2 linked regions of the Daphnia pulex genome follow. The protein of the gene in region 1 interacts with the protein of each later gene in a pairwise test. Links are inferred from orthologs where the notes say so. Each region holds a gene or a part of one and is shown on either strand. Other genes may lie near its edges.

Region 1 (6,154 bases):
TGCCGGGATAGGTGCTGTTGATGCGTCGCTAGTGCCTCTCTTGGCTACGTAAGTTTGGCCCATGTTATAACACCCATTCAATTTTGATCAATTAATGTTATCCTGTTAAAATACCAAGGCTGGCAGAAAATCGTCAACGTTTAGAAAAGATTGTCGATTTGTCCCCGTCGTACGGTAAAACCTTTGCTCTTGGACAAACAGCCGTTAGTTTAGCCTACTGTTTAGGTTAGTTGATTTCAATAGTTACATTTTTAAACTTACAAATGCGACAGACGAATAATTTGCTCCTACTGAACAGGTCCAATGTTAGGTGGAATGCTGGTGGAATCTTTGGGCTTTCCTCGCCTGATGCTTTGCATGGGTGTTTTGAATTTAGTCTTTGCTCCACTGGTCCTAATCCTTAAATCCGATGAACCTGAAAAAGTATCTGAGCTAACTGCTCTGACGTTATTCTCGTCTGATCACAGGGGATACAGTCGATTCGAAAATGAGGAACTCGAGAATGTAGATGAAAAACGTTAGAAAATTTGAAATCTGTATGAACGGTTTTTCTCATCAATTTGGACATTGTTATTAATACCGAGCGGTTTCGTCAAATATATATAAATAGACGTGTTTCGAATTATTATTACACTGGAATTTAAGACATGGTTAACTGTCTCTACGTCTTGAAAGTTCTTTTTGATAGTGTTAGATCTTGCAACCCGAACATGAAGGTGGATTTACTGAAATAGATGTCGACTGACGCTGGAATCTTCTAATAGCCGTCTCTCCATGCTGAATACCTGAGCCCAATTTATTGGGGTCAAGTTCACCTTTAAATATTAAAAACAATAACAGAAATTAATTTTGATTATAACACAAAATTTAGGATTTACATTACCCGTTTCAACTTTAGAAAGAATGGTCTTTGCACATTGCAGGAATGCCTCTTCAACATTTTCACCGGTTAACGCACTGGCTTCTAGGAACATTAGATCTAAATAAAAAGAAATCTTGAATTCGACAAATGTTTACAAACTATTACTTAAACGAATAACGATTTACCATTTTCTTGTGCAAACTGAGAGGCCTCTAGAAATGAAACTTGTCGATCTTCTTCTAAATCTCTTTTGTTCCCAACCAACAAAACAACCAAATTGGGATTTGCTAAATTTTGAGCGTCAGTAAGCCAATTCGAAACGGCGTTGTAACTTTCTCTCGAACTGATATCGTAGACCAAAAGCGCTCCAGCCGCTCCTCGATAATAGCTTTTTGTAACGGACCTCAATTATTACAAAAAAATTAGCATATTCAACTGATAGTATTCAACAAGAGACAATTGTGATACTTGAATCGTTCCTGTCCAGCCTGTAACACAAACAATGATTTAGCTATTAGGTAAACCGAATACAATTGAATATGCTATATTACAGTGTCCCATATTTGCAACTTCACTTGTTTTCCTCCTATTGTGACAATCTTTGAACCAAATTCCACGCCAATGGTATGGCTGCTGTCTTGCTTGACTGTGAACCAAGAGAAAATGTAAACAGGGAATTCTTAATAAATATGCATTAATAATGAATTATGTTGTTGCAAAAAAAAGTCCTGTTAGACAAGCTGTAAAAGCAACTGCAAATTTACAGTACGAAACGAACAATCTACCTTTCATATACAAGACAATTTCATTTGTTGTGTAACTATCTACAAACTATCTACACATTTGAAATTTTACAATACAAAAAAAAAATAAAAGCATGGCTTACATTTTTTCTCAATGAAATGGTGTAATAAGCAGGATTTTCCTGTGCCTGCACTGCCAATGACAAGAAATTTGAAAAGGAATTCTGAATAAGATAAAAGTAGAATTGATTAGCATTGTGAATTTTTGAACAATAAAAAAATGGGTTGACGTTTGTCTAATGAACAACAAGTAAACAAGAAAATACTACCGAAATTTTCAGCCATCCTTGGGCATACAATTACGGAGAAAGGCTATATTATCAATAAACCGATGTAAAGGGTCTCAGTCTCAAGTATCAGTAAGAAACTGTCAAAACCAGAAATCAACTAACAGGATGTAGCTTTGTGATTGCAAGGAAAGTGATTGGCTATATGAGTTCATGAAGTCTAACAAGTTAGTTAGCAGACGTTTTTTCTCGGCTCAAAAAACAACTTGGTCATTAGCGCCACCTTTTGTATGTTGTATTCAATAGAAAATAAATTAATTTTTTGTAAATTTACCTGTATTCCTGAAGAAATTTTACATAAAAGTTTTACAAAAAGTGTAGCTTTAATTAAATTACAACAAATTGACCGTATTATTTTGCAACAAGCTTGAAATTGATCTATACGGAAGTAAATGTTGAGAATTCATCAGCAGTTCCACTTCTATTTCACCCCTGATAAAATCAAATAAGAATTTTGAATACAATGTGAAGAAAAAATTATTTGAATTCAATATAAACACTTACTCGCTAGTGCCATCGCTCACAAGAACTGAGGGGGCATCATCCTTAACGCATACGAAAACGTAGCTATCTCGGTTTGGAGTTGTAATGAATTTTTGGGTGTTGATTTCTCTCATGTTTGTAGGCATGTGTCTGAGTCCAAGAGTTTTTAGGTGGGTTTCTGTGTTGGAGTTTAGTCTGTCAAAAAACAAACAATATGGTTGTTAGAGGAACTTAACAAAAATAACTGGTAATACTATACTCTTGTGCAAATTTTAATTCATCTTCTGTAAGCAAACTTGGTTCATTTCGTTGTCTTTTGTTTTCATTGTTCAACAAGTAGCCAAGGAATTTTTCTATTTTCTCCAGACGTATTCTTAGGTATGATGTAACTACATAGCGTATTCTTTCAACCTAACATATGTTTTACAAATATATTAGTAAAGGGGGAAGGGCATAATCTTGATTTAGTAGTTCATACTTCCATTCGATGCAAAGCAAATCGAAAATCTGATTTAGAAATGGCCATCAGATTCTCTTCCATGTTCTTTGTCTGCTCTAAAAGACAGTCAACTAGCTCAGTCTGTGGAGATAATAATTCTGGGGCGAGCATTTCATTGAGCCAGCTCTTGACATACAATAATACAGAGGAATGTCAACATCAAACAGGACATTTTTGGCACGTCTAATCATTCCAAACCTCTTCGAGTTTCTTGACGGCTTCAGAAGCAGATAAGAATTCGGCGTCTTCGGTCTCTGATATAGTATCCGCTGTTCCGAAAAGATCACTTAGTTGCGTTAGATTTCCGGAATAGGAAGCCATTATTATTCTTATTCAATCGTAAACGAAATTTTACCACAAGCCGACTGCTATTTGACAGGAGAGGCCTCACAAAACAACGTTTCCCGCCAAAAACAAAAACATCGTTGCATGACTCGGCTAATGAAGCCAGAGCTCAAATGTTCTATTTTTTCCTTGGATTATTGTTCCGTTCTAAACGGGTTTGTTCTTCAAACATTTGCAAAGCAAACCTGGCCCTCTTTGAAAAAATATATCAGTTTAAGCTAAGCGTGTCAATCGACAACAAACAAAACAAGTCGTTTCTGCCATTTGGTTAAGTGCTGGCTCATCGACTTTAAGAATACATTATGCAAATGCAAGCGAGCGGAAACCATGTATATTTTTAGTTACATCTTATATTCTAAGAAAAGATGTTGTGATTTGGCCAAGTTTGTACCGGGCGGACGGTAGTGCCTTAAGGTAGAGCAAGGTAAACAATAGTAAGGCAAACCATCACGGTATACTCGACATTTTGTTCAACTTGAATTTTTTTGCGTTGGCGTTTCGCATTTCCTTCAACTCCTGTTCCATCACAGTTATCGGTGGAATTGGACGGCGAAAAAAGAGAGAACGTTAAAAATGAGGACAAGATTTCGAAATCGAAAGAAGATGGTTTGTTCCTACGTGGCATCCGTGTTCGCGAATACGCAACATCCTTGTAAAAATAAGCAATCTAGTGCTATTATTAGATTACGAAATGTACAGAGATCGCACGACGAGTATTTATTATTTACAAGAAAAGACATCCCTTTTGCGTGGTCTGCTGTACAAACCGTAGGTATATGTACGTATAATTACGTATCTGGCGGCAGGTGGTTAACTAAACAGAGCGGACGTTGAGTGACGAACTGCACATGGACCGTTTCCAGACGATCATTGAAATTGCTGCACTCGGGTCTAAATAAAACCGTCACATAAGGAACTCTAGTTTTCATTTACGCCAACTGTAGCACAAAATGCTACAGTAAGAGAATTAAGGGGTAGTAGTATAGACGGAGAAAACAAAACAAGCTTTTCGGGTTGTCGTGACGTGTTGAGCGCCAAGAAAAAACTAAAAAGAACTAGCGAGGCCGTATTCAAGAGACCGGCTCAAGCATAGCGGGCGTTCAGTCTGTAAGGATCTGGCTAGCGGAGCTGGCTCGATCACTTAAAGCTCCTTCTTTTAGTCCACGAGCAATAAAAACTGCATATCGTTTCGAAAAGCAAAGTTCCGCAGTTCGCACAGTGTGGGGGAATCGACGTCGATTTCTTATTGGGAATATCAACAGCTAGCTACCACAACACATTTATTATCGAGAGGTGAAAACAAAAAAGAAAGTCGATTTCCGGAGTGCGCGCGCTGGCGAATTACATTCAATCTCCTTGTCGCCCGCAAGCAGCCGATATGCGCTGGGAGATAATGCAGTGGTAAATCACAAAATTTTTATCTTCAATATTTTATTTAATTGCTTTTGGTCAGTTCCCATTCACGGAAACAGCTCAAAAAGTCGTTGACCGGATTTCGTATGAAATTATAAATCGATTTAGACTACATATCGATAGCTTAGCATCATCGATTTTATGCGTTACCCAACCCCTTCCAACAAATTTTGTTTCGTCTGCTCTGCTCAGCCGCAGTCCGAATGTGTCGACAAATATGGCGTTCAACTGTTCTATAGATTTCTGCCAAACTACTGGTAAGAAAAGCTGAAATAGATTTGTTTTGGCTAACTAATAAGGTTTTCTTTTCCTCGAGGAAAGTCCCGTGTGATTGAGCAATTTGAGCTTGTTGGAGAAAAATCGATTTAGGCAACGATCTGGTCTGTGTATACGTGCTTTGTTGGAGGGCGAACTACTGGGGTTTTCTATCATTGACTGATTTTTTTGTCTGGGGTATGACGGCTGGTCTCAAGTGGGTATGGCCGGGATTATCCCATTATTCATTCATGTTGGTAGGAAAAGTGTTTGGAAGTTAGTGAAGTGAACGTAACCAGCAGATCCAACCTAAATTTTGTTACATTTCCAGGTTAACATAATTGTGGATTGAGCAGAGTCAAGTGGGTGATGGAGTATTGCGTTTTCTCACTTTCCAGTAGACAATGTCTCCCTTCCCAGCGCAGTTGCCCTTGTTCAGCAAGAAAAACAAAGGGGTGTCGAGTGATAGCAGGATTCAATCAGTCTCAAAGAGCTAGTGAATTTGAGTCAGTAAGGAAGGTGGAGCATTGGGCAAAAAGTGGCAGAGACAGTATCTGTCTCGGCGGTACGATCTCGTCGACTAAAAATAGGAACGGTGGTGTGGCTTTTTATGTGTGTATACATCTTCGGACTTCCCCAACTAGACTATATTGCACGTATAGGAATCGCTCGCAAACACACCTTGAATCCTACGTTTCGCCACTGTTCTGATCGATCCAAACATCCCAAACAGAACCAGTTTGCCTGGGCCGTTTTTCTCTGTCTCTCCTTCTTTTTTCCCCCGTTGAAAAGGTCGCGCTTGTACACACATTTCAAGGTTGAATATTATAGGAAGTTGAGTCGACAAAGTTAGCCACTGAAAATCTCTGGTCGAAGCTGGAATTGGCGCTCGTCTCTTTCAAATGATGTATTTATACCAACAGGACTCTATCTAATTCAAACTGTGTGTGTGTGTGTGTGTTTGCTTGCTTGCGTGAGTGCGTGCGTGTTGTTGGCTATATGCCCGTTGAGCAGCAGCAAACATGAACGTCTCGTTTTCTCTTTTGTCGTGATTGTTTGTTGAAGCTGATGACCGCGATCTGAAAATATCTCTCGGGGCGGCCCCCTGTCTCTCGTCGTATTCTTCGGCTTTTTTATGCCCCCAGTCCACCTCTACCCCCCTTATTTTTCGGTGCTTTTCAGATGCTTTGATAGTTTTGAATGGCGT
Region 2 (4,429 bases), on another chromosome or scaffold:
GATCAACCCGAATCCTCCTCGGAATAATAACATTCCAACACTTCCGCTTGAAATGTTCTCAAGCTACCTAGTCAACATCTCGCCATCCATTTGTTACGCTCACGCATTTGAATCATTTGTCTCAATGACGCTCGGTAAGAGGTAGAAAGATATTCTCGACTGACACATTCCCTTCTTGCGTCTCAGTTCGATTAATTTGCACAGAATAGGACAAATTTCCCGATGATATGTTCGTAACTGATTACTTTCTTTCACAAATTATTGCCTGTTCATGGAGAAATCACAACCGTATAGGCCTACCGTCTATTTAAACGTTTGTTTCTGTTCACCCTCGTATATCGTTAGAAATACTTTTCCTTGACTCCCTAAACAAAGAATTCCCTCAATGGAAGTCTTAAATTCGACAACTTAAAATATATAATCTAAATTGACAAAACAGATTCAATTTTTTTTTTTAAAATTATTATTGTGACTTTCGATCACATTTTCATAGAAAATTTTCCTTCGTGACTACTGTGGTCCTGCTATGGTGTATTCTGATTAACTGAAATTGTCCTGCCACTTCACACAGAGTATTCTTTGAAGAGTCGTCGGGAGATCTTGTTGAGGCGAGTTTGTAAGGCCTATAGCCTACCGAACGAAATAATCAAGCACACTGTAGGTCTACAGTTCAGAACTATCTATCGATTTGCATATGTTTGTTAACATTTCTTGAACTGCTGGGAGCTTGGAAGAACTCTCATAATGTTAATATACAAAACGTATGTTCAATATTTAAAATTTACGTACCCCAACGACATGTGTTTCCTGACATGTGTAATTATTTTTCCCTTGCTTCAAACGATATCAAAATGTGCCGGCCAGGCGTCCATTTGGTCGCATTCGTTTACTGTATGTCCCAGACACAACAAAATGTCTTTTGGTTTGTATTCCATATAAGGTACTAGGAAGAACAACGACCTCCGCAGCCTTGACCGGTAGCTGCAGGGAAGACTATTTCCGTGGTACACGGTATCTGTCGTCTGTTGCCAAATTCAATTCCTCCTTCGTGTAACGATGAAAAAGAGAAAGTACTGTAACCTACTTTTTCACGCGGGAAAAAAGCAACAGGGGCGGTCTCGTGAGAGGAACTCGGAGCATGAGCTTCGCAGAATATTCTTTCTTTCGATCAGATGCCGGTTGCCTTTTTCTTGATGAACACAGCTTTGCATTGCGTCTCCTCGTGGTAATGTAAAAAAAAGTTTTCAAGCACTGTCTCATTTGATCTTTTGTAACCATTCGTTCGTTCAACTTTCCATAGAAACATTTGTTGTCGGTTTATTCCGTGCTCTTTCTCGGCCTTCATGCCTTTTTTTGTTTTTATTTAGTAGAAAATGGTGTTTAGATTTCTGAACACACCACTTGTTCGAACTGTTGTTAGATTCGGCAAAGTTATTGCAGTGGAGAAATTTCGGAAGATGTGGTCAGCAAATCAAAACCTGCCTACGAGGACCGATGCTGATGATGCAAGAGAAATGTCGCGTGACGAAAAATGGCTTGCTCGTATGAAGTGGTTTCACACTATGTAAGTAAACTTAATTTTTCAACCGTCCATAAATGACGTTACCCAGTTTTTCTCGATAATGGACATTAATAACATTTTAAATATCTACCTCTCCCCCGGTTAAGGCGTTCAAAATCCCGCGACACCCCCACATCATTTATGGACGGTGTTCTTTGACTGATTAACATCACGTTGTAATTTAACTCTTAACTTTTAATTAAGGAGCCCTGAAAGTGAGTTCCTAGAATAAAATGGTTTAGTTCAACCGTTAAACACCAAACAGAATCCAGTCCTGTCATCAAGCAAGTCATCCAGATGGGAAGTTGACAAAACCTGAAGATATCTAGCGTCACTTTCGAAATTTTTGTTACTGTTGTACCTTCTTCAATTCAATAACCTAACTTTGTTTTTGTTTTGTTTTCTTGTTTGTTGGTTTTTACCAATTCCCTGTGATGTTTTCTTTCAATTTTTTCAAAGTATTTTTTTAGAGTGTTTTCTAGTCCGTAACTGGAAATGTTTTTAAGTAGTCAAAAGTCAAGCCGTCGCGCTCGCGCACTTAAAACCATTTTTTCAACTAAACGCTTGAAAAGCTCTTAAAATAATGTGGCAGCCAGAGTTAGAATAACCCGCGAAAAGCAAAGAGTGCAACCTTTTTTCGCTCTTGCTCTTCAGGTAAATACCCGAACTCTGGTGCAGTCATTCTCAAATGCCACCAAATGTAAAAGCTTAAAAAACATTGGCATGTTTGATTCTGGTAGTTCAGCAGTCAGCTCGAAGGAAGAATAAAAGAAGAAGCTTTTTTCACACGCCTTCGTCTTTCCATTCTTCCCTCGGGCTGACCAAACATGCCGATGAGATATGGTAATTGTAATAGATTTAGATAAAACCTTCAGTTTATTCATAAGAATGAATATTACTCTCAGGGATAAATTATATTATCCACATATTACCCTAATTATGATATCTCTTCTCAAACCACCCCATTAGAAAATCTTCGGCCAAATCTATTCTGTTGAAATGCTTGAGATGACAAGACACGATTACACGCATTTGGTGCTGGATATAAATTATGGAATTTTGAGTTTTGTCGATTTTTTTTTTCATTTTTTTGTTGTTGTTTTGTCAGAGCCATTAACTTAATGTAACGTTAATGGCTCTGGTTTTGTTGGTTTAAATTAAATTAATTGCGCTTTTTCCGTAAGCGCGAATATTTATAAAAAACGCAACCATGTAATCATAGCTTTTGAGTTTCGTCGTTTCGTCTCGTCTGCTGATCATTTCCCGCCTATTCGTGACTGTGTCTTGTGTGTGCAGTTGTGCTTGTGCATTCCTTGCGATTCCTTGTTTAGATTGAAATTGAATGAACAATTAAAAGTATTTACGCATAAAAAATTCGTCATGTTTGCACAAAAAGGAGTGGAGCTGGTACAAGAACTGGAAAGAGCAAGAGATTTCCTTCCACCATTCAATGTAATTGTGTTTTAATATTTTGTGATGAAAGTAGTAAAACTTTTTTATTTTTATTTGCAAAAACAGGAAGATGGAGTCCGTCAGGTACTCGAGGAAATGAGAGCTTTGTTTGAAGAAAATCAAAGAGATGCGTAAGAAAATCCAAACATATAAAAGGGAATTATGTATACATTACTTGACTTTTAGGAGCTCTGCTGTTGCTGGAGAATCGGAATACATAACTTCAGTACACATCCGACACTGTGCACTGGAAAGAAACAAAAGGTAACCACTGAAAGTTTGAAGTGTTTTCATTAAAATTCCTAATTAAGTTTTATTACTTTTGAAATTTTAGATGCCTGATGGCCTACCTTTACAATAGACTTGAACGTATAAAAGAACACCGCTGGCATTTTGGCTCTGTCCTTCCATCAGATATCAAGGCTAACATTTGTGAGCCTGAAGCTCAGTTCTTTATTAAATATAGTAAATCCCTTGCTGCATATATGAAATCTATTGGTGAAGGAAGTTACTCACTTGATCTAACACAGAACTTGAAACCACCAAAGAATCTCTACATTCAAGTTAAATGCATTACTGAATTTGGAGAGTTTGAAACTGAGGATGGGGATATTGTTGTATTGAAGAAAAATAGCTTGCATCTCTTACCTCGTGTTCAGTGTGAGTTGCTTATTGCTCAAGGAATTCTTGAGCATGTTTCATGATTTTTTATTAATCTTTATTGATTACAGAATAAAATAATGTACAGTATACAATTTAAATAATTCAGAATTAACAACAATTTAAAGTAAGTAGAATTTATTTTAAATCAAACAACTCATACCATTTAATGAATTATAATTTTATTATCATTTTTCTTCCAGCATTAGTTTGATCACTTTGATCTTTTCAATTAACTAATTTATTTAAGTAACCCAAAAGTCAAATCAAGAAGTGTAGAAGAAAAAAATCGCGTTTAAAAAATGTCGCGCTTTGACGCGAGCAGACGATTTTGTTTCCCTCCGGCAACCGGCATATCTATTTATCTAATTCATTTTTTTCTTTTTATAAACAAACTGGAACTTTGCTATCGCTTCTTTGGATGAGCTATGAACTCACGTGGGGGAGGGTTATTGGGTTATTCTAGATTATTATAAAGACGTTGAGGAATAAGACTAATCGTTCTTTGTTTCCAGACTACTTTACTTAAAGTAAGTATATAATCCGTTGCTTACGTGAACAAGCGAATTACGAGAGTTGATTTTGTGATTTTTGACTTTTTGACAAATTTTTTGAATATTAATTGCAAAATCGAACAAGACTTTCACAAATTTCGGTTATGTAATGCATATTTGAACAATCTCACATGATTTGATTGCTTAAAAATGTAATAATAGTTGGGAAACCTTTATTATGGTATTTCATTTGACGTATTAC

The links. The genes of interacting proteins can lie anywhere in the genome.
Region 2: the proteins of DNA replication complex GINS protein SLD5-like (region 1) and DNA replication complex GINS protein PSF1-like interact in a two-hybrid assay, tested with the Drosophila melanogaster proteins (2 studies listed by BioGRID). The link is inferred for Daphnia pulex from reciprocal best matches to the Drosophila melanogaster genes Sld5 and Psf1.

Annotation. Positions count from the first base shown.
Region 1 is NC_060022.1:2,232,802-2,238,955, reverse strand, and holds DNA replication complex GINS protein SLD5-like, read right to left. Parts: upstream 3,791-6,154; 5' UTR 3,256-3,790; coding exon 3,133-3,255; intron 3,061-3,132; coding exon 2,914-3,060; intron 2,847-2,913; coding exon 2,695-2,846; intron 2,631-2,694; coding exon 2,457-2,630; intron 2,385-2,456; coding exon 2,285-2,384; 3' UTR 2,213-2,284; downstream 1-2,212. Other genes in the region: synaptic vesicular amine transporter-like, read left to right, coding at 1-48, 119-225, 299-522; ras-related protein Rab-4B-like, read right to left, coding at 691-815, 884-979, 1,048-1,265, 1,331-1,350, 1,414-1,508, 1,749-1,829, 1,935-1,950; tau-tubulin kinase homolog Asator-like, read left to right, coding at 4,834-4,949.
Region 2 is NC_060027.1:3,076,691-3,081,119, forward strand, and holds DNA replication complex GINS protein PSF1-like, read left to right. Parts: upstream 1-2,840; 5' UTR 2,841-2,941; coding exon 2,942-3,013; intron 3,014-3,079; coding exon 3,080-3,144; intron 3,145-3,199; coding exon 3,200-3,277; intron 3,278-3,347; coding exon 3,348-3,717; 3' UTR 3,718-3,763; downstream 3,764-4,429. Other genes in the region: solute carrier family 35 member F5-like, read left to right, coding at 1-27.